Lepisosteus oculatus: one gene and its partners. The main gene of each other region encodes a partner of the protein of the gene in region 4 in a complex. Links are inferred from orthologs where the notes say so. Each region holds a gene or a part of one and is shown on either strand. Other genes may lie near its edges. The genes, in order: piga, pigc, dpm1 and dpm2.

Region 1 (7,337 bases), on a different chromosome or scaffold from region 4:
CTGCACTTTTAAAATGTTAATGAAAATATCGATCATGCCAGAGAACTAAGACCTTTAAAGATTGAATTCCTAGAAATATCTGCTTTTCTTTCTATAACACTTAAGTTTACAAACACATGCAAAAAAAGTATTAATAAGTGCCAAAACAGAAAAACTAATTTTATATGAAGTTCTGACAAAAAAATACTTCTCATTTCTACAGAATATTGTTCTTCTTTTAATAAGAGAAGATAACATTTTTATTCATGTACAGTACTGGTTAAATCACACTTTACAATTATAAATATAAATTTGAAAAGCACCTTGTTTTGCTGCATTTTATAGTGTACTGTAATTAGAGCTTGGGTTTCAATGAAAAATACCAATTGCTCCAAAAATCCTAACTCACCTATCATGAAGCTGGTACTTTTCTCTGACTTCTTCTAGGACAATTCTTTTAGGTCCCTCACCACCAATGAGGAAATACAAATCTGGATGTTTCAGGCACAGCTCTGGAATTATGCCACCAAGCAAATCAATCCCTGCAGGAAAGCATGAATAAAAATTTCCAGGAATTACTAAAATCAACAATCTATGTATTTCTGCACTTCACAGTAAATGTGATAAAATCATTAAAGACTTAAAAGATATAAAATTATGTTCTGACTTTGAAATCAATATTAAAATGCAAGTTTAACCTTAATTACTGCTAAAACACATTTTTGCTTTCAGAGGTCACTCTTACCCTTCCTATAAACAAGCCGGCTTACTACCACAATGGTAATCTTGGTGTCATCCCTCTGGGATGGATCTGGAGTGAAGTCAGTGGGATCAACAGCATTTGGAATTACAGACACTATCTCAGGATCCAGTGCAGCTCTTAGGACAGTGTTCTCTTTGCTTGTGAATGACACACAGATGATGTGGTTTGTGTCACAGAGCGACACAGTGAGCAGCTTATTGGTCAGCACCGAGCTCACGTCTGCAAAGCCAAAAAGGGAGTGGTCTGTGAAAACTGTGTGCAGTCCCATTGTCTTGGCGTGAAACAAAGAATCATGAGCCATGGCTGAAAATGAACTGTGGGAATGGACAATCGTGATCCTTTCCCGTACAAAGATGCACCTGAGCAGAGGCAGACTGTGGAAACATGTTGTTGCTGTGGACTGATTGTACATTACCTGCAGAGGTAAATAGTAAACCTTCAGTCCATTAGTGAGGTACCTCACACCTTTTCTGTTCCTGTAAGCATGAGTCACAATTATAACCTTGTGTCCTTTTTCAATTAAGCATTGTGATAGTTGATAAATGTGGCTTTCAACTCCTCCCATATTGGGGTAAAAGAAATCAGACACCATGCATACATTGTGCTTGCGGTGAGGATGATCCAGGTGATTGAGTCCAATGTCATCCAAGAGCCTGCTAATTTTGGGGCCCTCTGAGCTCCTTCCTATTCTCTGTTCCAGCTTCATAGTTCAAAATTCAATTCAAGAGATGCATCTATGCAGGTTTAGATTTGTACTCCTCAGCTCAAATGCACACCTATAAAATAAAGATATGTTATTATTCTTTCACCTCTATACTATTACATATCCACATGAATTAATCCACAGTGCCCCTTTTCAATATTACCAAATATTACCAAAAATTACATTAAACATAAAACCCTTCCTATTTTTTATCAATGATCTAGATTCTGGTATATTTAGGTAAACTAGTCAAATTTGCCAATGACACAAATTAGGAGGACTGGAAAACATGCAAAAAAGAAAGGGTAGCAAAAGTAAAACTATAAATGCAAAATAAAAAACACTCTGAGATAGAAGCAGGTTGAATTCTGAAAAGGAATTAGGTGTCTATGTTGATGAGCCATTTACTTCTAGGCAATTCTGGGACGCAGTTAGAAAGATGGATGAATTTTTTGGATATATATATTAGTAAGTGACATACTGGTAGATTAATTGGCGTCTGGAAAAAACGGCCAAGGTGTTAGCATGGTTGTCTGTGTGTGCCCTGAGATGGACTGGTGTCCCATCCGGGGTGTATCCTGCCTGTGCCCACTGCCAGCTGGGATAGTCTGTAGCTTCCACACGATCCTCAATTGGATGAAGCGGTTAGAAAACTGATGGGTGAATGCATGGAATTTAAATCAAGGGGTGCTAGAATTGTGTAATGCACTTCGTAGCGCCTTTTTTAAAAAAATTATGTTTACAATTTTGGTCACTATGTCATAAAAATATTCCTGCTCTGGATTCGGTCCAGAGAAGAGCAATCTAATACATTTCAGGGATTAAGGGAATGTAATACACTGACAGGCTTAATTAACTGAACCTTGAGTCTTGAACAGAACTACTACAAGGTTGTGGAAACCGATATGCTTCGGTAAACAGCTTGATTGGAGTAATTACTAGATACCAAACGGGCTATATGGGTAGAATAGCCTCTTCTCGTTTGCAACAGTTCTTAATCACAAAATACTCAGGTTACTGTAAAAATGTAACCAGTCGCAGCACTTGGTTAACACAATTTATCAGGAATAAGTGTTGACGTATTTACAGAGCATATTATACAGCTACACTCCGATAAACTCATTAGGTTTCGGTTTGAGCGCCCTGCATTTGATGACCCAATGCTTTCTGTACCCGCTCATAATTTATCCCCAGAACGCTTCACAGCAAAGCACCCTTACCTGACACCAATCTAAGCGATTGAACTGAGAGGTGCCACCTTCGAGAAACGGTACAAACTAAAGCTGTCATAACATTTAATCACTGCACCGCGAGGTAATAAATGCAACAGCTGGTTATCTAGAATTGTGACTGGAAGAAACTAAAAGAACTTCTGTTTAACAACTACTAGTACATTTATTTTAGTTTTTACAACAAACGAAAACAGTATTACCTTATATGTAACGATGGGTTGCGTATCAGTTGCTTCCTAGGACTACACAGCTTTTTAATTATTTTAGTACAAAGACAGGCTTTCTTATTAAGCAGAAGTGCATGTTCGTTTTCGTTTTCAATGAGCATTTCCGTGTTGAACGCGAGAGATTACTTCCGCTTGGCATGCTGGGAAATGAACACTTCCGCAGTCTTCTGGTGTATGTTAATTTACTGAAAAAAATGTACAAGTAAATGACTGGGATCTTATTTGGTCTCTTTAAATTGTAAACTCTCTTTTATTTCAAAACGACTTGCGTTAAATAATTTTAATTTAATTTAAAACAATACTTTAAAGCCTTAGTCGTATGGTTCCCTGGTGGTCTAGTGGTTAGGATTCGGCGCTCTCACCGCCGCGGCCCGGGTTCGATTCCCGGTCAGGGAATGCAACTTTTTTAGTCTAGTTATTGATTGTTGATTTGATGCCTTTTAATTTTTAAAGGTACTTGTGTTGACGTATTCTATTTTCTCGTGTTGAAACTTAACGAGCGATAAGTTCACTAATGTTGAGAGACATTTGTGTTAACATATTCAGTATTCTGTACTTTATGTTCTTATTTAGGTTTTTTTTTACTGTGGTAATTTGTTTAGTGTGAGAGAAGTTTTATTTGATCACTGACCCAAGGGAAAGTGTTGTGTGGACGTTTGAGGAGAGAACGCAGGCTCGCGCTGTGTCCGTTATTCTTCTTTTTCATTTTGGTTCTCGGTAACGTTTGATAATCGGCAAGTGAAAGCTATTTTCCTTCTATGAACACTTTTTTTCCTGTAAAGTACAAATAGTTAGTTACTCTGAAACCATTTGAGCAAAAAAAAAAAAGGAAAATCTTTCTAAATCTGTTTACTCTATGCTGATGACATTTTCCTATGTCAGTTAACCAAGTACACAGATCTTCAGGTTTTGTAAGACCCCACGTTTCCGCGTACCGGAAAATCGTAAAAAAGAATATGCTTGAGGTTCTTGAATAAAAATAAACTGTATCCAACTAGATGGGCTTCTATACGATCTGTTGTTCGCATAGGTTATATTATAGAAATGGACATATTTCCTTGCCTATTTATTTAATTTGTCAAGATCCTTTTAACTCCCAACAAAATGCATGGAACAAAGTAAAACTGTTACAACTACTTTGCCTCATAGATTTTGCTGGCCTGAACATAACTTTTAAGTATTTAAGTTGAGGATGTTTACAAAATGGTTGGATTTGGGGCATCAGCCTCACTGAAGAAACTTAAACTGAGCAAGTTAGACACTGGGATCATATTTCTTCTGTTCTCGAAGTCAGGACTGTTTCCTTTGAAATGGTCCCAGTCATTGCACACTTTGGACAGTTGGAGGAAGGTCAACTGCCTCTTGACATATCATAAACGTTTATTAGGAATAATTTCCTCTAATTGATGGGTTTTGAGCTCTTCAACTATCCATCTCTGTATATAAGATAGTATACTTTTGGTGACATCTTTGATTACAATGGCCTGCACACATTTTTCAGACACACCTATTCACCTCCTCGGTTTTCCTATTGTATTGACCTCAGACCTTGCTCATCTTTTTTGTGCCTGTTGGGAGGACTGGGACACTGTCTGGGACAACATTATTACTCTCTCTAAAGACCTACTGTACCACAGCATATCCATTTCAAACTTGAACATAAAATGCACACAACACCATACCAGTGGTTCGACATCGTGTGTGCTTCCAACTCTCTCTGTCACTGAAGCCCTCAGAAGGAACCCGCACCTGCCTGTTTGGGGAGTGGCCTGTGATAGAGCGGTCTTGGGCGTATGTGACTAATGGGCCTTTCTGGTATGACAGTGCTGCTGAGCCCTGGAAAGCTTCTTCTCAATGACTATCCCTGTGCTACTGTTAATCTTGTGAAACAACACCTTTTGTTTATAAGTCTAACTGCTGCCAAGAAAACATTTTAAAGTTGGGTGGGGACTGCCATAGCCTTAAATCACACTGTTTTGCATTAATTTGCAGATTATTTCTAGCACAAAGGAGTATAGATAGGATTGTGCAAAACCTACATCTGCATGGTGTGTTGCTTTTTTCCATCTTCAGAATTTGTTTTATTAGCCCAGAACCGGTGATTGCACTGACAAAGTATGTGTTTAATGGGATTCCCATTTCAAAATTATTCATTCATACTTCATACAGCTTTTGAATGGTTAATTGTCGCATGGGATGAGAATGCCTGAAAATGATGTCAAGTAACCCTAAGGCTATTTGAAGATAAAGTGTTAGTCTCTAGTTACAGCTAAGAACAAGGTAAATATATCTCTCATGGGAACTACAGTTAAAGAAGGAAATCAATTACTTGGTGTGAAACGTGTAACAAAACCTATAATTTGGAAAAGGCTGCACCTTGTAAAAACTACTTGACAGGGTGTTTTTCATTTGCACAGGAAATTCTGAAAGATTTGTATATAACTTTAAAGTTAGGAAAGTATTTGACATTTGAGAAGAGCATTGTATAGTTTCTTCATCTAGCCTGCTTTTGTAGCATTTGTAAATTCTAATGGTGTTGCAATTATCTAAATTAGATGATAATATTGAATAATAATAATCACACAAGACATAAAAATGCAAACATTTTATAATTCACATAATATACATTTAAATATATTATACAAAATAAGCATCAATTGTGACAAATACAAAAATATGATTTTAAACTGTAAAATATATGTTCAGTGCCTACAGGAAGCCAAGTTACAAACCATCTGCTAAAACTTAACAGCTTTACATTTAGAAGTAATTTAATGTGGTCCTTTTTACACTTCTTGTGTGTAGGAGGGGGAGGAGTAATATAAACATTAAATGCATGACAGACATAGACACGTCAATAAATTAATTTCTAATTTCAAACCGCTCAACCTTTCAGAATGTCAGTGCTTTATCTTCCATTTTCAGTTACAGCTGTGGAGAAAGAAAATGGTCATTTTAACATGAGCAAGAACAATTGTTATATGCCGTTGTTTATGATAGATCATATAATGAAAATGATAAAATCTAATCCTTTTAAAAAACCTGTATTTCCAAAGACTGATGTCAAATTGGTGCAACACTTTGAATTTAATTTAAGGTTTGGTATACAGAGGCTAAGCCATGTGAAACTTCAATGTAAGTAATAATTACTAAAAGGCTCTGGTATAATCGTCACTGATGTTTACTTTTTTGAACATGTGACTTCTGAATCAATTACTAACTAGAAAAATTAGAAGGAAAGCAGTAGGTTTTTGTGAAGTATGAATGTGTTTTTGTTAATGAAGAATGCATTAGATTGTAAAAATTACCACACAGCATACACACAGTTTACAAGTTTGGGTGTGTCATTTCAGTCTAGAACATAATTTGGTTAACTATTTGGTTTCTCTACAGTGTGATCCTTCCTTTGTTCAATGTGTCATCTGTTTCCTGTACAATACACGACTCAAAATCCACATGTGAATTTATCTTGTTTTCCTAACACTTTCCTAACACTATCTTTAATAAGATTGCCATTAATTAAATTTGATAAAAAGGGATTGAAGGACCAATACTTTATGTCTCAAGCATTACATTTTTTCATTGAGTGTATTGCTTAAATGTATCCCAGCACACTAAATAATTTGCATATGCTTTATAAGGTTTTTTAAAATGGTGAAATTATAATTTTGTTCATTTTTCTTCCTAGAAAAATAAAAAATATATTTTTTAATCTTCACATTGCAGTTTTCTATTCTGGCCACATTTATTCTAATAGGAAAATGATTATCCTAATAGATTCTGGATTCGACCATTAGTTTAGTTCAGAATTATGCATCGTTAAGGTGATTTGACTTGCTTTAAGTCAGTGAATATGGTAATTTACCTGCAGGAGCCTGGGTCAAACTCTTTGTTTTCTGTGGCACAGATCTCATGGTTTAGAGAACAATGGCAGCTACAGTTTTTCTGGTTTATTGTGTAATTTCTGAAACAATTGTTCTCACAAACACAATCACATTGGTTTTCATCAAACATCCTAGGAGGCCCACAGTCTGACAACTTGGTAATTGGAGAAAATTCTGAAAAGGAAGCAGAGAACCTTACTGATAGAAAAGAAAAAAGATGCCAAAGAAAATGTCTTCTGGTGTCAAACAGAGTACTAAGTGAATTAAAGGAAATAAATGTTATTTATTCTTCACATAGAACTTATCACTCCAGAAAATGTTCACACAACATGCCAAGCACATACTGGAAAGACAAAATCTCCAGTTCCTGGAAGACTTCTATAAATCAGGGAGTAATACAGCCAATGCACCGAACTGAGATAAGAAATCATCCTAGTATCTTCAATCGTTTTCAAACATGAACTCTGCTGTCCCAAGTCATTGTTAGTATTTAAAAAATGTATATCCAAATGTTTTAAATATAACCAAGTTCAGTTTAAAATTGTGTTT
Region 2 (7,368 bases), on a different chromosome or scaffold from region 4:
GAGCAGCGCGGCGCCCGCGGGCGTCAGGCTGGCCACGCCCGCCACGCCGCCCAGCGACACCAGCGCGGCCGCCCAGGGGTAGGCGCCGGGGCGGGAGGCGCGCAGCCGGTGCAGCAGGCAGGGCCAGAGCGCGAACACCAGCAGGGCGGCCGTCAGCGTGGAGAAGGCGTGCAGGGCGCCGGGCAGCCGCGAGGCCAGGCAGACGGAGGCGAAGAGCGCGGCGTTGAGCGACAGGCTGCCGGGGGGGCTGGGCGAGGCGTAGGGGAAGGACACCAGGTGCGCCAGCAGCATGAGGGCGGCCATGGCGTGCACCGTGTCCGTGCTCACCGACTCCGTCAGCGTCTTCAGCACCGGGGAGAACCCGAAGGTGAAGGCCAGGAAGATGGCCGCGCTCTGCAGGTCCGCCCAGCGCGTGCGCGCGCACCCCCCCCGCCGGCCCCCCAGCGCCTCGTACGCGCCGTAGCCCAGCAGGGCGCAGGGCGCGCTGGCGGCCAGCAGCAGCAGCGGGGGCAGCTGGCCCTGCTCCATGCAGGACCACAGCGTGAGGAAGATGGCCACGCAGGACAGCTGCTGCGCCACCAGCCCGGCCTCCCGCACCACCGGCCAGTACCGGTACCGCCGCACGCCCACGTTGTACCGCAGCTCCTCCAGGAAGCGCCGGTCCACGTAGTTGTCGGGGAACGGCTGCCGCTCGTACAGGACCTTCCGCCACGGCACCGCGGGGGTGGATCCAGGGTCGCTCTCCGCCCCCATTCTGCCCCTGCGGGAGAGTAGCACGGCTGTGAGGGCTGGCACTGCACTGGCACTGACTGAGGCTGACCCTGAGACTGACACTGGCACCGAGACTGAGACTGGGATTGACACCAACTCTGGCACTGACATTGAGACTGGCACTAGGACTGGCACTCAGACTGAGACTAGGACTGACACCGACACTGACATTGAGACTGGCACTAGGACTGGCACTCAGACTGAGACTAGGACTGACACCGACATTGAGACTGGCACTAGGACTGGCACTCAGACTGAGACTAGGACTGACACCGACACTGACATTGACATTGAGACTGGCACTAGGACTGGCACTCAGACTGAGACTAGGACTGACACCGACACTGACATTGAGACAGGCACTAGGACTGGCACTCAGACTGAGACTAGGACTGACACCGACACTGACATTGAGACAGGCACTTGTACTGGCACTGACATTGAGACTGACACTGACAATGAGACTGGCACTAGGACTGGCACTCAGACTGAGACTAGGACTGACACCGACACTGACATTGACATTGAGACTGGCACTAGGACTGGCACTCAGACTGAGACTAGGACTGACACCGACACTGACATTGAGACAGGCACTAGGACTGGCACTCAGACTGAGACTAGGACTGACACCGACACTGACATTGAGACAGGCACTTGTACTGGCACTGACATTGAGACTGACACTGACAATGAGACTGGCACTAGGACTGGCACTCAGACTGAGACTAGGACTGACACCGACACTGACAATGAGACAGGCACTTGTACTGGCACTGACATTGAGACTGGCACTAAGACTGGCACTCAGACTGAGACTAGGACTGACACCGACACTGGCATTGAGACTGGCACTAGGACTGGCACTAGGACTGAGACTAGGACTGACACCGACACTGGCACCAAGACTGCACTTGTACTGGCACTCAAACTAAGACTGACACTGGGACTGACACTGACACTGGGACTGGGACTGGCACCAAGCCTGCACTGACACTGACATTGAGACTGTACTTGTACTTGTACTGACACTGGCTGTAGACACCCAGGCAGGAGCGGCGGGCAGGTACACTCGTCACACTGACGGCACGGACAATGACCAGCACACCTGAATCACACACCTCGCTGCGCTACTGACAGTGCGAACGGCACAGCACAGCCGATAACTGCTGAAACACGCCTCTCCTGACCCACATGTCAGCTCTGTTCACGTGCTGCAGCGGATCCCAGTCCTGGTGCTGGAGACCCACAGTCCCGTTGGTTTTTGTTCCAGCCAAGCTGTCAGTCACACTGTTGAATGTTTTAATTGCCTGAATGACATGATTAATTGGACCTGTGTGACTGTTTTCAGACTATAAACCTTCAGGAGGCAGCCTTTTAACCATTACATTTCCTAGTTGAAATCAAATCCCAAACTCTTGAGTTGGAAAAAAAAACACTTGCAAATGTTACAATCAAACAGCTGATGAATTCAATTAAGGCCTCAGTGAGGTGATGAAGCTCAGCTGGAATGAAGGACCTGCCCTACACAAACGACTCTACCCAAAGGGTTGTGGGGGTATGGAACAAGCTGCCCAGCCACGTTGTGGAAGCTGATATCCTAGTTTCTTCCAAGAAACAGCTGGGTGAGATACAGGGTCAGTTAGTTGCTAACTACCAGAAGGGCCACATGTGCTGAATGTGCTCCTCTCTTAAGTGCACTAAATTAAACTAAGGCGGCACGGTAGCGCCGTGATGAGCACTGCTGCCTCGCACGGCTGAGCCCAGGGTTCAATTCTGGACCTGCGGTGCTGTCTGAGTGGAGTTAGTATGTTCTCCCCGTATTCGCGTGAGTTTCTTCCGGTTTCCTCTCCTGGTCCAAAGACCTACCGGGGGGTTAATAGGCCCGGGTGTAACCGTGTGCGTGTCCTGCGATGGACTGGCTTCCCGTACGCAGTGCACCCTGCCTCGCACCCGTTGCTTGCTGGGACAGGCTCCGGTTACCCCGCAACCCCGAACTACTGTAGATGAGGCGGGTAGAAAATGGACTACAGGAACCAGCCGGTACGGGCTACAACAATGTTAAACACATGTCGGTATTTAATTCAATCTCCCTGAGCTTACCTGTTATCACAACGCCGTATGAAAAAACATTTCCATTTCTCTGATAAGCATGTATTTCACTAGGAGAATAAAAGTCCTCCCAAAACAAACGTAGAAAACAGGAAGCAGTGAGTGATAGGCTACCACTGATTTCACGAGTGTTATAGAGCGACCTGCATCTACGTAGTGTCTTCAGTAGCCGAGAGCGCCCCCTGTCGAGGAACTGTTAAAGCACCATTGAGGACACTCGAGTCTATATTAAGAGGAGAACGGCGTTTCGATAACAGGTCTGCCCAGTAATAAACGATAGCACTTATGCTTTATCTAAAAGCGAATCAGACGTCATCTATGTTATCGGCTGTTCTAATTGTTAATCTAACCTGGAATAATAATGTAATTATTATCTTCCGCTCCTCTAAACTGTTAGCGTCTTTCTACTGAAAGCTTGAGGCTGAACGCTGTCTCTGCAGCCTGCAGGTCGAGAAAATGTCGGGAATCGATGTCCAAAAGGGAGTTTGCAGGTGTTAAACAGGTTATAACTTTACAGCTGCTCAAATACTCTGTGTTTTAATGCTGTATTCACGGCATGTCACCCGAAGAGAAGTATTAAACTGAATAATTAATAACATTTCAAAGAGGGTCTGATAGTATGGGTCGGGGTCTTGTCTCTGAAGCGTGGCAGCCCGTCTGTGGAGCCGTGGGCGCGCTCAGGGCGGTCTCGCCAGGCCCAGCGGTTTCTCAGCAGCGCGGCTCTCTCTCTGCCACAGGTAACCCGGGTGAATATCGCCCCCCCGTCCCGGCCCTGCAGGAGGGATGCTGCGCCCAGGTAAAGAGTACACACGACCTGACACGTTCATTTCGGGTGTTTTGCAGAAAACGGAGTCTTTTTTTTTCCTTTGAGGGGAAAAAAAAAGCTCTTTTAGAGTCTTGGTGGGTTTAAAGTACAATGACAGCCACTTCTGGTCAATAATAAACGGACTCCAGGTCACGGATTAGAGCTTCTTGTAATGGATGGTCGGTGAGAACAGCTGTTATTGGTCCGTTCAGAGGGAATGAACTGGAAAAGGCGAGACTGTCGACGCTTGTAACAAAGCAATAGGTTGTCCGCTTGTGATAAATTCCCGCTGTGCAGCACCTCTGAGCTGGCCCACAGCCCAGGGGGACAGCAGCAGCGTCCTGTCCCCGTGTCTCCTTTCCAGTCGCCGTGCTGTGACGAGGAGGGCTGGGTCGTGGGGAGCCCACGCGCATGGGACAGCACCCGCGCCATTCAGAGCTGCCGCCCCCACCTCCGGGATCCCGGCACCAGACCCAGGGACCCTCCAGACGCAAACGGTACTGCCGCTCTCCTGCGCGACTCGTCCCCTAGGCCTTAGGCACGTCCTTCAGCTGCGGGCCTGTAGCCGCAACAGCCGCTGCCGGAGCAGAGAAAAGGTCACAGACCAGAGGAGCCGGTCGGCCCGTCAAGCTCGTTCAGCTGAATAGTCTGCGGATTTTAACACCCGTACGCGTTTCTCCGTTGGTGGTCTTCCGTGTCGTTGTTCCTGACCCCTCTGCTGCTCCCCAGGGCGGCGGCGGCGCGGCCGGTCTCGTGCAGCCCGGGGCGGGGCCGAGAGCCGGAGTCCAGGGGCAGGAGGAGAGTCCGCTGCCGCCCCCCAGAGACAGGACCAGGCCAGGCTGCCGGCTGCTCAAGGCCAGGTGAGATGCCGGCGGCAGCCAGGGGGGCCGAGGCTGTGCGATCAGTCCCTGCTCTGGTTCTGCTGGCTAACTGTGGTGTCCTTCCCCCAGGCTGAGGCCCCTGTGTCTGGCGGACGTCGGTGGCCCAACCGTGGGTCAGTGTCAAGGTATCGTCCCTGGACACTTGTGCGGTCAGCGCAGGACCCCGGCACCCACAGTCCCGCAGGTAGCCTGGACAGAGCTGGGGCCTCTGGTCACTGGCCATCCTACATTTCTGTTCACCTTCACGAAACTGGCTTCAGCCAAGGCTGTCGGGACTAGGCCATTCACACCTCGCTAGATTTAGCTGTCTGGTCAGTTTTCCTCTGACAGGTGCGAGACAGGAGCTGTGATTCTGTGCTTTTCTGCCCAACTGTGCAGGGCTGAGGACAGACAGGCAGGCAGGCGCCCTCTCTAGTGTGACGAAGACGACTCACCCTCAGCTGGTAGGGTAACTAAGAGCAGCACAAACACTCCCTCCCATTCACACACCTCAGGAAAATGTCAAAATAATACAGTCCAAAAGGGCGGGAAGACTTCATTGTTCACACTGAACTAATTATTAGAAAGAATATATTATAGTGTTCTCCTCTGTCCCATTTAGTGATTCAGGCCATTGCATTGCTCAAGGGGTGACAGTCACCACTTTTAGGCTTTTCAAGAGCCTGGCCAAAGAGCGCCAGTTTTTAAGCTACACCGAGATCTTCAGCCACTCTCAGAGCCACAGCTGAGGGCGACCTCAGGATTGTCCAACAAGGTGAACTCGATGGGCTCAATTCTGCACCTCAGTCTTATGTAAAATACTCTATTAATGCACACAGTACCGTCACAGATTGATCATCCTCACCTACCACCCTTCATTAAACTCGTTTACACTTTCAGTATCTTCCTGCATTATGAAGGTCCTATTGTGGAGTTCATGTAGGTGTCTTGCCTTGCAGACTGCATCTCCTGAAATCTTCACTCCCAGAAGATGGCGCTGTCTACTGGGCACCACTGTGGACAGGAACTGCAGTAATGTGGAAGCTGGTCACACACAAATAAACAGGAGCCTTTTTCCCCGATTCCTGCTGCAAGCAGTCATTTATTGTCTGTATGAAGGCACTGCCAAAGCCGGTCACGAATTTCAACTGCAATGTCACATTATCTACGCGAGCAGAGTGACGTCTCCCTCTCAGAGCCAGCGGCGAGCACACTGACCCCTTCATCTTCTAACACGTCACTGTGCGCCACCTCTCCAAGCTGGTTAGTAACATGACCCAGGCTCGAACCCGCAGCACATGAATCAGGGCGCAAAGGTAAGTCTCTTTACCAGCTGAGCCACTCTGCAGCTTCCTCTTGGCTCGTTTTAGGAAGGTCTATTTCTTATTCCTTTACACATTTAAATAATTTGGAATCTATGTAGAAAAGTGAACTGGAAAAATATACACACGCTTAATGAGGTCAGTTGAAAATTTAACTTGAAGAAGAGGAGAACCCAGAATCTGTCATGTCTCGGTGCGGCAGGTCGGGGTTCAGGGGCTGAGTCTCAGTGCAGCAGGTCTGGGTTCAGGGGCTCTGAGTCTCAGTGCAGCAGTCCTGGATTAAGGGGCTCGGAGTCTCAGGGCAGCAGGTCGGGGTTCAGGGGCTCTGAGTCTCAGGGCAGCAGGTCAGGCTTCAGGGGATCTACATGTCGGGGCAGCAGTTTGGGGCTCAGGGGCTCTGTGCTATGGTGCATTAGTTTGGGACTCAGGGGTTCTGAGTCTGTGGTTCATCAGTTTGGGGCTCGGGGGCTCCAAGTCTCTGCAGCAGGTCGGGGCCCAGGGGCTCTGCACTGTGTGGAACAGAAGCTCATGAGGGCTCACCCTCTGGGACTAGGACTGTTTCACAGTAAGAAGCCTGGCACTATTCAGTCAAATGTGAAACCTCCTTTTCAGCTCTGGCCAGGAGCCTCTTGTTGACGTCAATAACACTGCTATCATGTGAAAGCCCTTTCCGTCATCCCAGTGTCTCTCTTCAGTCATGTGGCCAGGATCTGAAGACGTGCAGCCTCATTTCAGATTGTTTGCATAGCTGTACACATGGCTGCCGTGGGCTGTGCACTGAGCACAGCTTGTAAAGGGGATAAAGTGAGCAATGTCACTAATCCCTCAGGGCACATGAGGAGTAAGCCAGAATCACTGCAGACGTGTACAGGCACAACAATGTAAAAACGTAAAACAATGTTTCAGCAGAAATTAGTCATAATAATAAGTCATCACATAAATGGCTTCTGCTCTTTTTTTTCTAATTTCAGAAAATGTAGTTTGATCTTTAGAAGAAAAATTTAGATCAGACCAGTCTCTCTTTGACACAACATGTAACAGTCCCTCTTAACATCAACCATCTTCCAAGACAAAAAGAAAGCCCTCAGGAGCAGAGATAATGAGCCCTGATGAAAAGAAATCGCAGTTCGGGTTTTTGCTGGAGGTATTGTAAGGTTCGTGTGCTGAAGCAGCGATTTGCCTTCACCCAATCCATGACGAAGCGCGTGGGCTCCGGTAGCGCTCCGCTCTTGAGCTTGACCTGTCTTTTCAGTCGAATTAAACAAGAAGACCACTGGGCAGAGAAAGCCAAGAGTGGGGACAGACTGTAGAGGAGTCGGCGTTGTGTCCAGGAGCAGCCTGCCGCCCGCCTGGCCCCCTCCCCCAAGCCCTGTGAGCGGCCCGCCGGGCTGGGCCTGGCCTGGCCTGGCTGGGCCGCCTGTCCTCCCCCCCCCCCGTCCGGCTACGCTATGTGCGGCTCCTCCTCTTGTCGTCGAAGAGGCTGCGCAGCAGGTAGACC
Region 3 (7,970 bases), on a different chromosome or scaffold from region 4:
TGTTCCGTAATGTTCATTTCATTATTGTTTTACTGCCCAAGTAGCATAATGGACGTTGAAAAACAAATGTTTACGGGTGATTTTTGAGGACAGGGAAAGGTGTAATCAAGCGGACATTAAACTGCTACTACTGTATCTCTCTGGTTTTAATTAGTTTCTTGCTAAATTATACTCAGTCTAATAATAAACATTTTACTATACATACTATAAACGTTCCCTCCGTTTTGTAGCAATATGAGAAGAGCCAGCTTGTCAAGTGGATGGCAGCCCAATATTTAGAAGAACAGAGGAAACATCAATGTTGTGGAAGGGCTGCTAATTAAAAGTAACTTGAAATGAATATATTCGTTACCAGTCCATTATTAAAAATACTTCTCGACAAAAACGTATAAATGTTTATGAACCGATGATATTAAAACAGATGCTCCCACTTCATAAAGAAGCTGCAATTGAAAGACTGAAACATTAAGAGTATCTGTTCACATAGTTTAACAAGTAACTCAGAACAATAGAGTATATGAACACTAAAAATGTAAAACCTTAAAGTTATTATAATATTCTTCATTTCAGCTCACAATTACCTGCAGATGAATGAATTCTATACTATCTACCCCTACAACAGCATGTACAGTAAGCTACACCATTAAAAAAAGTGAAACCACACCATTAAATCCACTGCAGGCCTTTATTTTAATATATATACAGTATATCAGGAAGTAATAAATAACACTTATATGTACCAGTCCAACCAGTAACAAGGAATATTCTCTCATTCTAGTGAAACTGGTCTGTATTGAACTGAAGCTCTGTCACCCCATCCACTACAGTTATGAGCGTCCCATTTGGGAAGTATCAGTCTAGTCCTCTTAATCCACCTCTTCAATGGTGGGCCCCTGGGAGGCATTCCCTGAGCCTGTCCGTGCTTGGCTATCACAGCCTCCTGCTGGCATGCCTCCTTGCATCCCTCCCTGGTACAGCTTGGTGATGATGGGGTTGCACACTTTCTCCAGCTCTTTCAGCTGGTGCTCGTACTCCTCCTTCTCTGCCAGCTGGTTGTTCTCCAGCCAGACAATGGTTTGGTTGCATTTCTCAACAACCTTCTTCTTGTCCTCCTCGCTGATCTTGCCTTTCATGTTTTCATCCTCCACACTGCTCTTCATGTTGAAGGCGTAGGACTCCAGGGCATTCTTGGCAGCGATCTTCTCCCTCTGGGCATCGTCGTCTGCTTTGTACCTCTCGGCGTCCTGCACCATCTTCTCAATTTCCTCTTTGCTCAGCCGGCCCTTGTCATTGGTGATGGTGATCTTGTTCTCTTTGCCAGTGCTTTTGTCCACTGCAGACACGTTCAGAATGCCATTGGCGTCAACGTCAAAGGTCACCTCGATCTGTGGCACCCCTCGTGGGGCAGGGGGGATACCCGTCAGCTCAAACTTGCCCAGAAGGTTGTTGTCCTTGGTCATGGCTCTTTCCCCTTCGTACACCTGGATCAGGACACCAGGCTGGTTGTCTGAGTAAGTAGTGAAGGTCTGGGTTTGCTTGGTGGGAATGGTAGTGTTGCGCTTAATGAGGGCTGTCATGACTCCTCCTGCAGTCTCGATGCCCAACGACAGTGGAGCCACGTCCAGCAGCAGTAAGTCTTGCACATTCTCAGAGGTGTCCCCCATGAGGATGGCTGCCTGCACAGCTGCACCATAGGCCACAGCCTCATCGGGGTTGATGCTCTTGTTCAGCTCCCTGCCATTGAAGAAGTCCTGCAGCAGTTTCTGGATCCTGGGGATGCGAGTGGAGCCTCCAACAAGGACGATGTAATGGATTTGAGACTTGTCCATCTTGGCATCTCTGAGTGCCTTCTCAACCGGCTCCAGGGTCCCTCTGAAAAGGTCGGAGTTCATCTCCTCAAAACGAGCCCTGGTAATAGAGGTGTAGAAGTCGATGCCTTCATACAGAGAGTCGATTTCGATGCTGGCCTGAGAGCTGGAGGACAGGGTTCTCTTGGCTTTCTCACATGTGGTGCGCAGTCTCCTCAGTGCTCTTTTGCTCTGGCTGATGTCCTTCTTGTATTTCCTCTTGAACTCTTCCACAAAGTGGTTGACCATGCAGTTGTCAAAGTCCTCCCCACCCAGGTGTGTGTCCCCTGCCGTGGCCTTGACCTCAAAGATCCCATCCTCGATGGTAAGGATGGACACGTCAAAGGTGCCGCCACCCAGGTCAAAGATCAAAACGTTGCGCTCTCCTCTCTTGCCCTTATCCAGCCCGTAAGCGATGGCAGCTGCTGTGGGCTCATTGATGATTCTCAGCACATTCAGTCCAGCAATAACGCCGGCGTCTTTGGTCGCCTGGCGCTGGGAGTCATTGAAGTAGGCAGGAACGGTGATGACGGCATTGGAGACTTTCTGTCCCAGGTACGCCTCGGCAATCTCCTTCATCTTAGTCAGGACCATAGAGGAGATCTCTTCTGGGTAGAAGGTCTTATTCTCTCCTTTGTACTCCACCTGCACCTTGGGCTTGCCTCCATCACTGATCACCTTGAAGGGCCAGTGCTTCATATCCGACTGCACAACAGGGTCTTCGTACTTCCTGCCAATCAGCCGCTTCGCATCAAAGATGGTGTTATTGGGGTTCATGGCCACCTGGTTCTTGGCTGCATCTCCAATGAGCCTCTCCGTGTCAGTGAAGGCCACATAGCTCGGGGTGGTGCTGTTGCCCTGGTCGTTGGCGATGATCTCCACCTTGCCATGCTGGAACACCCCCACACAGGAGTAGGTGGTGCCCAGGTCGATCCCAATAGACACTCCCTTTGGTGCAGACATCTTTCCGTGTGTCTACAGAACAAATAAACCACACATTTTCTCTGATACACATTTAACTGCTCAGTTATGAATACATCAGATACTGTAGTTCAAATAATTTCTGCTGGAATGTTTGATTTTTAAACTCTCCACATGAAAATTAAAGTATAAAAGTCTCATTCAGGCTATGAGGTGCAGGTTTTTCTCATAAAGTGGAGTAACAAGGACAGCAGTCCCCCAAGACATCATTTTACCCCATTATTACATGTTTTTTTCACCTTTCCAGTACACTTTGTAAAGTATACAAGAAGTGCAACACATTAATTCTAAAAATCAGCACTTTCTTTCCTTACACATCATGTATCTTTTCAGCTTTAGCAATTTAGATTTTTGCACATTTGTAAAGTTCAGTCACATTATCTAATAATTGAACCAAAATAATATTAGATTAATCTTTGTTTTAAATGTTGAAACATTTGTTTCCTAACTGATCAAATAACTTTCTAGACGTGTTACATTACTTTTCAACAGCTATGTAAACTATGTGCTGTTTATGTGTCAACTTACATTTTAACAAAAAGAATGTATCAAGTTATTTTGCAAACGCAGGACACAGTCTGTAGTGTTACAATATTTTAAGTTTGTACACATTAACGAAACACAAATGTTGAAAAACGATGCAGCAAACATCAGCTTAAAATGTCACACGTTTACACGCATTGCGGTTCACCTATAACGAGATTAGGGAGATGCTCCGATGATTGTCGGAAAAACCCGATTCTCGCTCGGCGTTCCGTCCGTGTGATCGTTCACTGTTCTCAGCGCTGCCCGGTGCGGCTCAGCCACCCTTTTTATTCACTTGCCACTTGAGTTTCAGAACTCTCTAGTGAAGTCGCAGCCAATCAGAGGGGGGCTTTACGTTTACATTAACTGCAGTTGCTAAGGCCCCCCTTCCAACCTCAAACCAGGGGGAGGCAGAACCTTCTAGACGGAGCTGGGAGTTGCTAGTTGGGAGTCAGAGCGGTTTATCGACTTACCGACTCTCGTACACAAGATTGCCTCACTGGGGTCGAGGTGTGCAAAGAGCACACAATGTTGTCGATGCACTTGACTGGCGCCAGATCCGCTGTAGTACTATCACTGTAATATCAACAGTTGTTTTTGTCCAAGAGGTGACTTGTTGTATAGGAGGTTAATAAAAGTATTATAAAGCGGGAGGCAAAAAACAGCAACTGCAGAAATATGAATTAGGGTAGCACGGGGCTTGAATAAGTGGATTTAGTAGCAAATGCAATGCAAACAAAGTAGCAAATGAAATGAAAACAATAAATATTTAGATACTTAGATGAAACTCACAACTGGGCAAATACCTGGATGTTTGATGTTGACAACTGCAGAGTATTATATATAACTTATAAGCCAGTAGCAAAAACATTAATTATGCAGCATATGCAAAAACGACAAAACACCTGGTTTGAAGAGGCTGCTGATGAAAAACATTATTTACGCTGACACATCCCTTACAGCTTCTTGACAATGGGAAGAAGCAATAAAAATGCAAATACATTTTTCGTATTTAATGTTTAAAGCGCGGAATTTAAATGGAGACGTCAAAATTGTGCAATGCACTACCAAGACCTTATTTAGAATATTGTGAATAGTTTGATTGACACAAAACGCTACAAAACGCTTTGCAATCGTGGAATTAGTCCATCTAAGAGCGGAAAGGGACATTCTGGGATTTAGGAATATACTGTACAACACTGAAAGGCTAAATGCGCTGATTTTGTTTTTTGTCAGAAAAAAACTACCCTGAGGGCCTGATCCAAGTATTCAAAATCCTTCAAGGCTGAGTGCCGTTCTGTCGTTACTTATCCCTAGAAATTCATTTTCTTAACAATTTATTCCGTTTGTATATCAGCATTTTAAATTTTAATAACCTGCAAAAACTCTTTTGTCCAAAAAATCCTTTCTTGCGTATTAAGAAAATCTATGGATTGTAGATATTTTAAATATTCAACGAATTATTAATGGTATGACTTATTTATGTATTTATTCATTATATTCCAAAACCAAGGAATAAATGATCGTACTGAGTAGCCTTTTTATCCGCACATCTCGGAACCTGGTAATGTGTTCTTCTACTTATGGGTGAATCGGGGGTATATTTTATTGTGACACTTACTTCCGGTTCTGCACTTCCAACATGGCAAGCAGGAGAAGCTCGGAGAAAAGCCGTACCGGGACAGATAAATATTCAGTATTACTGCCCACTTACAATGAAAGGGAGAACTTACCATTAATTGTGTGGCTTTTAGTGAAATACTTCGGAGAAAGGCAAGTACTTATAACTTAAATGTCTTCTATGTGTTTGTTGAAGATTAACTACCACTTACTGATGAGCTGTCATTATCTCTGTCAGTGTAAATAAGCAGAAATACTGTGCTAACGTGACAATCGATACTTTTTATGTACCTTGTACTTTCTACTAAAAAATATGCGAGACACTGAAAAAGAAAGGTGTATCGTTGCCCATTCAGAACGTGTCTTGAGTTCGCAGTAGGTTTTTCAGTGTGCCTATATAAATTATTCATTGACTGGTGTTATTAATTTGAATGCAGCAGATCATTTATATTAAATTAGGTTCTTGTTCTCGTAGTATTGTCAATGGCCGTTTATGTGTCTCCTGTAGGAGCATTTTCTTAATTTTCCGAGCAAATCTTTTGGAGAAAATATGTTTTACTGCCATTAAATATGCGTTCTCTGCAAAAGCCCCCCCACTCTGGAGGGAGAGAGTTAAAACGGTGGACGTCTCTTGACTAACTTGCAAATTTACATCACAGACCTCTTCAATTACTTGGCTGGGGTAGACGTCCTCCACCTCAAGAATAGGTCCCAATTTAAGTTCTAAATCAAAGCTGCCAATAGCATGCAGAAGACAAATAAATGTGTTCCTTTCGTGGGTTATGTAATGCTTGGTGCAGCACTGACGAAGTTTAAAAAGCCTGAAACATTTTGCGTAATGTCTGTTAAGGATTATATTATTTTTTATTACAGTGAGTGCAACTATGAGATCATTATAATTGATGATGGAAGTCCTGATGGGACACTGGAGATGGCAGATCAGTTGCAGAAGATATATGGTTCAGATAAAATAGTAAGTGGAGCTATGGTAGACATGGGTCTAACAGATTGTGTACACGGTATACATGTTGGTGCTGGTCGCTTTAATTAACACGCCTATTGTGTGTGAACTCACGTGTAATTTTATTTTAGTGCTAATGATTATTTTCATCCTCCTTTCTTTGTTTACACCATTCTCTGTCTTCTAATAGTGGTCATGATCCTAGACATTTACATATGTTTTTCAGCATAGATGGTGAATGTTAAACAATGTGTTCAATGTACACAGACAAAAAAGCACAATTGTATGTGTGGTTGATTAAGATCACACTTTAGATTAATACAGGAAAATAGATTATTCCAAAGGGTTCACAATTTTGTTCTCAACAGTAAGCAGCAGATACATGGAATATGGGTCTAGAATAGGTTTGGGAATTTGTCTTCACAGTTATTTCACAATTTTTGACCTCTGTGAAGTTTTTGTGCTGTATCTTGTATTGTTCTGTTTGTCTTTGGTTAATGTTGTAATGGAATATAAAGTCACCTTACAATCATCCGTCATAAAATATGGAGCATAACAGCGAGCACAGAGTAATTAGAACATGGAGCACAGAGATACAGAAGTGGTTCTCTTGTCATTTTAGGAGATAAGTGTGTCAGCTGCTACTGTAGGAAGAACTTAATTCAGATGGACTTCCTAGGAGGAGTTTAAAATCTCCTTTCACTATTATTAGTTGAAATTGTGCAAGCAGGTGAAAAATACTGTCTGAATTTGAAAAAGTCATCATCAAATCAGATGGCAGTTTGGCAAGTGCAACTCAAGCTCTTAGATCGTGGGTTCAAGCCTGTTTCATGTCACTGCTGAGAGTAGAGTTAGATTATTCTGCCAGGGCAGTCAGTGATACAGTAGAGCCTGCGGCCTCCTGGGCACTTGCAGGATTGTGGTGGTGTTACTGCAGGGGTTGTGTCTCTTCTCCTGCTGGCGCTGAACCTCCAGTACTGGAGTGCACTGACTGTGTCGCGTTCGAAGAAGAGTGGTTCGAAGTTATGCAGGTCGGAGGAGTCAGTATGCCCTTCCTCATTCTCCCCTATGTGCGGCTGCAGGGTTTGTGGCTACAAGCCAAGAAAAACCCATCACTGATTATACCACAAAATTGTGTGGGTATGACAAAAACAACTGGCAATTATAAATGTATAACTAAGTGTGCTTATGAGAAGAATAGCTTTCTTCTCTGGCAAGTGAATCAGTCTTGTCATATTACACAAGCTTGTAATTAATCAATGAAATGCTCATGGAGTTTCTCCAGTCTTGCAATCTCTGAATTTCTTTTTGTTTTGTCTTGACAGCTTCTTCGACCTAGAGCAAAGAAACTGGGATTAGGTAAGGCATTCTCATGCTGGTGGCTAGTGATAGTAGTTTATAGACTTCTGTGAAGAGACTCTTCTCCTAAGGATCAATGTATTACATTCATTCCAAACATTTGTGATGCAGAACATTTGTTGTCAGTAATGAAGAATTTAAAAGGATAATGTTCACTTTGCATTCATTGATTGTAACATGGTATTTGACTTTTTGTGCAGGGACAGCTTACATTCATGGAATTCAGCACGCTACTGGGAATTACATCATAATTATGGATGCTGATCTCTCCCACCATGTAAGTTGTTGTCTGTAAGAGAAGCTTTTAAGCTCAGTTAGTTTTCAGTTTAAAAGAATGTAGATCCTTTTACCTGATGATTTCATATTTTTTTGCATAGAATTTTAAAAGAAACCATCGATTCTAATACTGATATAGTAGTTGAAGTGGACAATTCCATGAAAGTAACCCATTCACATCTAAAGTTGTTTCTTCTCTGTTAGGTCATATAATTGTAATTAAGAAGTTCAGTCAGTTTAATGATAACAGAATAGCTTAAAAGCGTATGTTGTGGGCTGAAGTTGAACTGAAAACCAAAATCACTGCATATACTGTAACAACAACATTTTGTAAATTAATTTTTATTTTTGTTTCTTCCTTCACTCAGCCAAAATTCATTCCAGAATTTATACGGTAAGTT
Region 4 (7,863 bases):
GCCTTAGGTATGAACTTTGGAGCACAACAGTACATTAAACACACCATCCCTCCATCCACTGAAATCAACTTTAACATGCTGGGTCTTTAGTCAGCCTTGAAGCATGTGTGTTTTTTTACATACACTTCATATTTTAAGGACTAAACACACAGTCTTACAAGGCGCAAGGTGTATAAATCAAAAAGTACGAGAAGGTCAATACCTGCACTCACATTTGAAATGTGTGCAGGCATCACAATTCATGCATTTGTGATTTTTGTTAAAAAAAGATAAGAAGGCAGTTTTGTGAACCAAGATGTCATTGTTTTTTTTTTTTTGGAAGGGTAGTCACAGCATTTTACAGATGGAGGTACGTTACAGGACAAAAGCTGCCTACAAGTGTAATTAAGTAGACATCACAATTTTACTGCATACTGTACATAAATATATACAAGCTTGTCTGCAATGCAAAGGGGGCACTGATATTACATGGGAATTAATTTCATCTTCCTGTAGCCACCACAAAACTAGTATGGAGTTTCACTGACGCAATGTTTTTAAAATAAAACTTGCAGGTAAAGCATTTTAGATGTAATGTTAGTGGCAACATTAAGAACTTCCATCGTGCTTTTAAAAAAAACTGTATCCCTTCAATTCAGTGACGGAAACGGGTTACATGAGTCATCTGGCTCTCATCTGGGAGCGACTCTGTGGATTACAAGCCGGCCCCTCTGGGTTTTTGCGACAAAGTGCTTACAGCCATGCAGTCATTAAGGGTGTGTGGAGTGCGCAAGGACGATATTCTTCTCTGCAGCACCTCGAACGTTTGCCTGGGGGAAGAGGGCGGTCTGTGACCTGCACAGCAAATTCCATTTCTGCTCCACTGTGGGTGTAACCTCACAAGCCCCCGTCCGCTCGGATTTACCCTTAATTCAACCCTTGAGACGTCAGCACAGGTGACTCTGAAATGGCTCAAACTGCAGTGCAGCCCGCTTTTCAGACTTGCCCACAGAATGTCCAAAGTGCTCTGCAATGTGAAGGAAAAGGGATTCGTTCATCGGTTCACACAGGAGCTGATCTCACTCATGGGGGTTGGACTCCTGGATGCTTGTGAACGAGCTGCTCTTTTCACTCTGACTTCTTTGGTTTCCTGTTCTTCCAGGTTACTATGCCGATAAAGGTTCCTGAATATAAAAGAAGACATAGTTATTCTCTTCAGAAAGAAACAGAAGGCCAAAGACAAACGAACTCTCTTCAAATCTGGGACCTCTTACCAAAATGTAAAAATAAGTGTGCAAGTGTGACTCATGCACTGCAGATGTTGTAGCCATGTCTACCCAGACCAGCAACAACAACAGACAGTTTCACAAAAACAATGTCTGAGTGAATCATCACAGCCACACTCGTGGCCTTAAAGACTCCAAAACAGAAGGAGAAGAGGTGAGAGACCTCAAAGCAAAGAAGTAAATGCTTTCAAGAAACAAACGAGTGCGATTCGTGAATCAGTTCAATGGTCTTGCGTTCTCTGGTCATTGTAGTACATGAGCTCGTGTTTGTCATAGAGAACTGGCTATGATAACAACCACCTTCAAGCTGAGACGTTCACGAAGGTTGGAAAAGGTTAATAAATGCTCACCCTCAATCTGAAACCTTGATTTGTGGGAAAATAAGCACAGGCTGCCGATATGTTAAGTGACTGTAAATCCCCTCCCTGCAAGAGAAACACACCTACCTACAAAGAGCAGCAGAATCAAAGCTGCAACGCCAGGCAATATGACAGAATACTCCCGGGGGAGAAAATACTGGTGCATCACGTGGTCACTGTCCACAAAGGGCTGCAAAACAACAACCAGACCAGGGTTACCACATGTCCCCACATCCCCAGGCATCTCCTCCTCCTTCATCACTAAATCTCCATCTGGGAGGAATTTTCAAATATTTTAAAATGGTTGAAATTCTTTATCTCTAAAGGTCTGACAAGTGTCTCAGCTGTCTTATCTGATCCTGTACTGTACACAGCAGCGTTTCTTCAAGAGATCTTTATTCAATGCTGTACTTTGCTATTCCTAAACAAATGCCAAAGTGAAAGTGCGAAGCCACTGCAGAACTGAAGACGACATTCCCATGTTTTCAAAGGGGAAGAGAGGAATGGGACATGAGCAGTGGGCATGAAGACCTGTCTGCGAGTCTCAGGGGCAAACAAGATACATTGATATGTACTGTATACACCTTATATACCCTATAAAACGTGTCAAAGACTGCTATTGTGTCACTGGGGAAAACAGCCAGAGGATCAAAATCCACATGAAGCAAGAGAGGTGAATACCCACCAAGATTATAACCCAGACTGTGTAATAGGTGAAGAGCAGCAGGCTGAAGCTCACGATGCCCATCCCAACCGCCTGATCCGCTCCTGTAGCCTAGCAAAGCCGTGGAAAAGAAATGTTAACCGATAGCACCGATAATCACACTGGGCGTTTCGTTCTGCTGTCGCAAGGTGACTGTGCAACTGCAAAAACTCCGACACAGGTGCTTACTTGGATTAACTGTCCTCTAACCCCGAAGAAGATGTTATATCCACGCACAGATTTTACGGGTTGATATGTTGACTGTATCTTATTAAACCCCACACATAGCATAACTTTATACTGAATACAATACACACTACACTTCAAAGCGAATTCGTCATTTCTTGCCAAAGCTACAGTTTCTGTTTGTAAGAGTATATATTATCTCGTTAAATACGTACCTGTCTTTCCGAGTTGCCAATTCATTCAAATTCTATGAAAGCTGATACAATAATGCAGCTCAGATAACGCCTTATAAGCATAAGTCATTGCACTAAATAAAGCATTAACCAGGCTTCACAAATTACAAAGGAATATTTATTATAGCTACAGAAATCGAACATGTTTAAGTCCAACTCACCATATTGCACTCGGTACTTTCCTTCCTTCTACGAAATCGTGGAGCTTCCAACTTCCGGTGAATTCTGATTGGTCCCTAAATCTTCCAATCAAAAATTTGAAGAATTATGGGAAATGTAGTTTTTTTTGCGATGTGACCAACTTTGAAAAGATTGGATTAGATGACGGGTATTTTGCTTGCGAGTTCGCTATAGCCTTTCGTGCGTGCAATCATTCACATTAGTGAAGAAATTATTACATGTGAACGGATATAACAGGTATTCAGAATATTAATTAACTCGAAATTTCACAGATGATGCGAAAAAACACAAGGTGGCAACAAAGGTGCACCTGTACTGTTAATTCTATACAGTATGCCACATACTGGCCTGTTCTGCTACTGTACCATTCATAAGCTGTGTGGTATATAGCATTATATTGATAGTATAGGTGCAGTTTTGTTGCATCCAAAAATCTAATACACTTTCTGCTCTGAATTTTAAATATATAGATTTGATTTTGTTAATGTTCTCGTTGTCTTGTTACGCTGATGCGCGTTTAAATAATTTCTCTTAAAAGAAATATTTAAATGAGCTCCAGCCTTGCAATATAAAATGGGTCTCACTATGAGCTAGAGAGCGCGTCGTGGTAAGTTCTTCAGATGCAGCTACGAATTTTCTTTTCTTTCCGTGTTCCGCTCCTGAGCTCCCGGGGTATTAAATTAAATCGCCAAAAGTTGTACGAGCGTAAACGTGGTCCTATTCCAGTGGGTGACTCAACTTTTATCACTGCTTAGAGCGAAATCGGAATATCTCAAAGATAATTTTGACACTGGTTCTATAAGAAGAAGAAATCTCTCGCCATCCCCAAATGCAGCTCTTGCAACGCCGGCTGGCCCAGGCTGCGTCAGACCCCTGGAATCTGGTGGTGACATTGTAATTGCTTTCCTCGGTCTCATGGAGCTGCCACAGCTGTCAGAGGAGAGTTACTAATGAGAACCCCGGGAGAGGCACGCAGCGCCGTACTCCAGAAACACCCCAGCGGGATGGAGGTCTGCAAATTCATCCTTCTCCTTGCCCTGTGTTTTATTCTCCCCTCTGCGTCTCCTCCACCCCTGAATAAGAAGCCGGGGTGCCTCAAGGTGAGCCACTGCAAGTGTCTCCTGAAGGACGGCTCGGGCGTCATTAACCTGGCGGCGCTGGGCGGCTCGGCCGGGCTCCCGCAGCGCTACAGAGCCGAGCCGGCGGGGGCGGACGAGGTGCTGGTGTCGTTCAGCCCCTGCTCGCCCTTCTCCGAGCCCGCTGAGGTTCCCGGCACCCAGTGCCTGGAGGTGGCCGCCTGCGTGGTCGTGAGGTAGGGTCAGCGCCTGCTTGCGGGGCGGAGGGGAGTGGGGAGAGACTGTAGTCCAAGTGCGAAACGGTGTTGTTAGGACTGGGAGCAAACAAACCTTACGGATGCTCAGAGCAAATACTGCAGTAAACTGTTATGATTTAAAAACAAATTCCTTATTATAGCAGCATATTACTGTATTCTACTCCGATAAGAATCACTGGCTGCCGATGTCGAGGTCAGTACGGTTACTGCGAGGGTGCCCTTGTCACTGCTGGCGGACATGCCTGATGAGGTTGGCACGGGTAGGTGCAACCTAAACCTTTTTTTCCCCTCCGACAACTCAATTCTCTCTCCCAGACACCACACAAGCAGCGGCGGCGTCGAGAGTCGCTACTTCAACTACGGGCAACACGAAGGGAATGAATTCAGATACGACAACCAATCGCGGACCCTTTCAGTTACATACCCAGGTTCGCCGTCTTTATGTTAGCTCATCAGAAACGTAACTTCTTCCGGGCTTGCAAATAATTAAATGTCAGTGAAGGGCTGGTTAGGTCTAAGAACCAGACATGAGAGCAATTCTGTCATAATCAATGAGGGATTTCATTTTGAAGAGATGGAAGTTTGAAAGAGGATCTTTGGTAATCCTCAGGTGTGAGTGTGTATTGTCAAGGTACATTTATTGAATTGAATTGAAACCTTTTCCTGTTTTTTTGCTATGAGGTGACGTTGTAAGTGGAAAGGGATTGTGTGCCTCTGCTTTGGCCCTGGTCAGAACTAAAAGAAACGTCTTGCTGCCCACCGTGAATGTGATGTGAGAGTAGTACAGGCCGTGCGAAGGAGTAATTATCCCCTCGATGTTCTTTAACAAGTCCTTTCCAGCAGCCTGGTCCACACTGTGGTACACTATCACTGCAGCCCCAACCACTCCGTGTCCCTCTCCCAGCCTGTGGAGCACAACCGCGCCCTGGAGATCTTCGTCCGGAGCCCCTGTGCCTGCCCCAACTCCTGCAACCTGGAGGACGTAGGGCCGATGACCATCTTCCTCATCGTCCTCTGCCTCGGCACTGCTGCGTACTTCATACTGGGTAATCGACCTGCCAGGCGATCCGGATGTATTTTATAAAGTGGATCTTCATGCATGGTGACCCCCACCTCAAACTGTCTTGCAGTCAGGTTACAACGGGACACAGAACTCACAAGTCATTTCTAGAACAATAATATAACTCAATGGGTGGCCCTATGCAGTACACACCAGAGGGTGCTGTGAGGTGCAGTAGTCGTGCTGGTGAATTTTTACCCCGGTGCAGGAGTGAGCAGCCCTGGGATGACAACCCATCGAGTCTTCTGGTTCCCAGGACGCCCTCAAATCATCAGTTTCTGAAAACTTTGACCAACAAAGCGGGGGATTGGCGCAGTTAAAGGGGAATTACAGCCCCACTTCCTCAGAGCAGGTGCTGCGGCCGAGCTCTCCACTCGGCGGGGAACTGCAGCGCTCGGGGAGGGAGGTGCTCGCAGGCGGAGGACGGAGTGAGGCGTTCCTCGCCCTCGCACCAGTGCGGTCAGCGCCCTGAGGCACGTGCTCTCTCTCTCTCCCAGGTTCCTGCGCGCTGCGGCCCTTCAGGAGCACGCAGGGGGTGCAGATCAGGCCCGAGGAGAGCCTGTGGTGCGTCCTGTGCTACCAGTTCACAGAGGAGAGAGGGAGGAGGCTGGGCCGGAGCCAGTGCATCAAGGAGGAGACCCTCTGAAGCGGAGAACTTCGCAAGCCCTGTCTTGCAATGTGGAGCGCTGCCCCCTGTCCTTATCTCCAAGACACTTCAACACATAGCCTCTATCAGCCAGGGGAAAGGCCAATTACATAGGGGGTGTTTATAGAGGTAGTTAGAGATAGCTTTCCCACCCATGGGAAAAACTACACTATGGATCGATGCATGTTTGAGCACATCCAAAAGAACCTGCTGCCCACCACAGTACCCAGTCGGCTGGCATCCTGGAAGACTACCAGGAGAGGAATGATGGTCAAACTAATATGGGTCCCAACTTTGTCTGTGGAACCTTGTTCCTCACGGTTCCTGTCACCTTCAGATCATCCTTAACCCCCTCTGTGCTGGGATCATAGCCTGGGCTTTTCTCCACTAGGTGATTGCTGGAGGTCAGTTCCTCATTAACACCAGGAGAGGTCCTCCAGCTGACCTCTGCATAGATAATGAGATCCAAGACCAGAGGAGACGCATGGCGAGCCGCAGCCTTGCAAAAGCTCTCGCATGAACTGGATTTTTTTTTTTTACTCCAAATTTGTTAAGTTTTTCTTTCCATCCTATTTTGGGTTTGTTTCTTTTATAGTTGTCAGTTAGGCTACAGCCAGGAGTTAGCCAGGTCCCATTAATACTTTCCTTTTCTGTTTGCTATATTTTCAGGTCTACAGCTGGTTAGTTTTATTTTCTTCATCACGGGACCCACCAGTTTCTGGACTTGTTATTTTTTCAGTTACCCAACTAACACTGTACCTGCTGTTATGGAATAAACAAGTGCCGGTTTTGTACAACTGCAGCTGATTATTAGCCACAATGGGCACTTCGCACCTGTGCTCGAAGGTGTTCGTTCCACTTGCAGTTTTTACCATTTTCCTCACCCGCGGTTACGCGATTTTTTAAATCCAGTTAATTTTTTATCAATGCTCCAGAACTAGGTTGTTATTTTTTTTAGAAATAAGTCATGGGACAAATTCTCAAGTTGAAAAACAATGGAAAACTGTTCAAATAGGGAAACACCAGGCCCTGGAGACTGGGGAAGAGAATTGTTTCTCCAGTTTCACTAATAACTTAGTATCCCAAGTGTCAGCAGCGTGCTCTTCTTTTACTAGAAACACTTTGGAACAGGGGATCTTTTTTTACACTTGGTATTAGTTTAGAAACAATATGTAAAAAGACAATATCAAGTTGCTTACAAAAACAACAAAAAAAAGCCAGCATCTTCATTGAGGTACCCAAGGACAACTTTATTTCCCCAAAATATTACATTTATAACTTTTCCTATTGTAATGTTACAATCTAAAATAGGAAACATTCAAATGTGAGAATACAAATATACTTTTCATTAAAATACAGTACGGTGCTCCACCTAAAGTGAATCAAATCTGTAGAGAGAAACCAAAATCCTGTTTCAACAAAAAGAAGCCTTTGGAGCAATGTTTTAATGTTTGTTATAAACTTTTATTTCCAACCAAAATGCTTTTAGAGAATCACAAAAATAGAGCCATCTAAATATTTCTCTTAATACATTCCATTATAGATCCATTGAGTTAAGGAAAATTATAGAAATCTCTGTAAATCTAATTCAATCTAAAGTACAAGTTAGAAAGTGTTAACCTTTTTGTCAGGGAGTCTTGGACTCCTGTGCATAGCTTTAATCCCTTTCCAAATTAAACATAAACCGAAAAAAAAAATCGATGTCAAAGTCCAAGTGCTGTTGTGATGAACGTCATGTAGCCTGGGGTTTTCAGAGAAGGGACACTAGGAAAGGCCAAAGCAGCCCTTTACCTCGAACTGCAGGTCTAGGACAGACGGACAGAGGGGCCTTTGGCAAGTAGGCATTTCAATTAACAGTAACATTAGCCAATTCAGTTATTTCGCACCTCGCAGTACAG

The links.
Region 1: dpm2 (region 4) and piga share a complex: the UniProt entries of both Homo sapiens proteins name them as parts of the glycosylphosphatidylinositol-N-acetylglucosaminyltransferase (GPI-GnT) complex. The link is inferred for Lepisosteus oculatus from reciprocal best matches to the Homo sapiens genes DPM2 and PIGA.
Region 2: dpm2 (region 4) and pigc share a complex: the UniProt entries of both Homo sapiens proteins name them as parts of the glycosylphosphatidylinositol-N-acetylglucosaminyltransferase (GPI-GnT) complex. The link is inferred for Lepisosteus oculatus from reciprocal best matches to the Homo sapiens genes DPM2 and PIGC.
Region 3: dpm2 (region 4) and dpm1 share a complex: the UniProt entries of both Homo sapiens proteins name them as parts of the dolichol-phosphate mannose (DPM) synthase complex. The link is inferred for Lepisosteus oculatus from reciprocal best matches to the Homo sapiens genes DPM2 and DPM1.

The regions. Positions count from the first base shown.
Region 1 is NC_090710.1:20,913,501-20,920,837, reverse strand, and holds the start of piga (phosphatidylinositol N-acetylglucosaminyltransferase subunit A), read right to left. Parts: upstream 3,018-7,337; 5' UTR 2,878-3,017; intron 1,519-2,877; 5' UTR 1,449-1,518; coding exon 725-1,448; intron 522-724; coding exon 389-521; intron 1-388. Other genes in the region: vegfd (vascular endothelial growth factor D), read right to left, coding at 5,826-5,835, 6,770-6,962. UniProt on the Homo sapiens protein: Catalytic subunit of the glycosylphosphatidylinositol-N-acetylglucosaminyltransferase (GPI-GnT) complex that catalyzes the transfer of N-acetylglucosamine from UDP-N-acetylglucosamine to phosphatidylinositol and participates in the first step of GPI biosynthesis.
Region 2 is NC_090704.1:31,465,472-31,472,839, forward strand, and holds the start of pigc (phosphatidylinositol N-acetylglucosaminyltransferase subunit C), read right to left. Parts: upstream 3,009-7,368; 5' UTR 2,875-3,008; intron 2,808-2,874; exon of another isoform or gene 1,893-2,807; intron 761-1,892; 5' UTR 754-760; coding exon 1-753. Other genes in the region: uncharacterized protein, read left to right, coding at 3,621-3,679, 3,986-4,185, 4,418-4,548, 4,639-4,753, 5,508-5,521; tmed5 (transmembrane emp24 domain-containing protein 5), read right to left, coding at 7,317-7,368. UniProt on the Homo sapiens protein: Part of the glycosylphosphatidylinositol-N-acetylglucosaminyltransferase (GPI-GnT) complex that catalyzes the transfer of N-acetylglucosamine from UDP-N-acetylglucosamine to phosphatidylinositol and participates in the first step of GPI biosynthesis.
Region 3 is NC_090711.1:9,602,423-9,610,392, reverse strand, and holds the start of dpm1 (dolichol-phosphate mannosyltransferase subunit 1), read left to right. Parts: upstream 1-4,959; 5' UTR 4,960-4,995; coding exon 4,996-5,126; intron 5,127-5,846; coding exon 5,847-5,946; intron 5,947-7,259; coding exon 7,260-7,293; intron 7,294-7,493; coding exon 7,494-7,570; intron 7,571-7,937; coding exon 7,938-7,963; intron 7,964-7,970. Other genes in the region: heat shock 70 kDa protein-like, read right to left, coding at 867-2,810. UniProt on the Homo sapiens protein: Transfers mannose from GDP-mannose to dolichol monophosphate to form dolichol phosphate mannose (Dol-P-Man) which is the mannosyl donor in pathways leading to N-glycosylation, glycosyl phosphatidylinositol membrane anchoring, and O-mannosylation of proteins; catalytic subunit of the dolichol-phosphate mannose (DPM) synthase complex.
Region 4 is NC_090719.1:15,315,042-15,322,904, reverse strand, and holds the start of dpm2 (dolichol phosphate-mannose biosynthesis regulatory protein), read right to left. Parts: upstream 3,008-7,863; 5' UTR 2,911-3,007; coding exon 2,908-2,910; intron 2,400-2,907; coding exon 2,310-2,399; intron 1,815-2,309; coding exon 1,712-1,814; intron 1,164-1,711; coding exon 1,108-1,163; 3' UTR 1-1,107. Other genes in the region: uncharacterized protein, read left to right, coding at 3,877-4,238, 4,575-4,702, 5,090-5,305, 5,817-5,965. UniProt on the Homo sapiens protein: Regulates the biosynthesis of dolichol phosphate-mannose. Regulatory subunit of the dolichol-phosphate mannose (DPM) synthase complex; essential for the ER localization and stable expression of DPM1.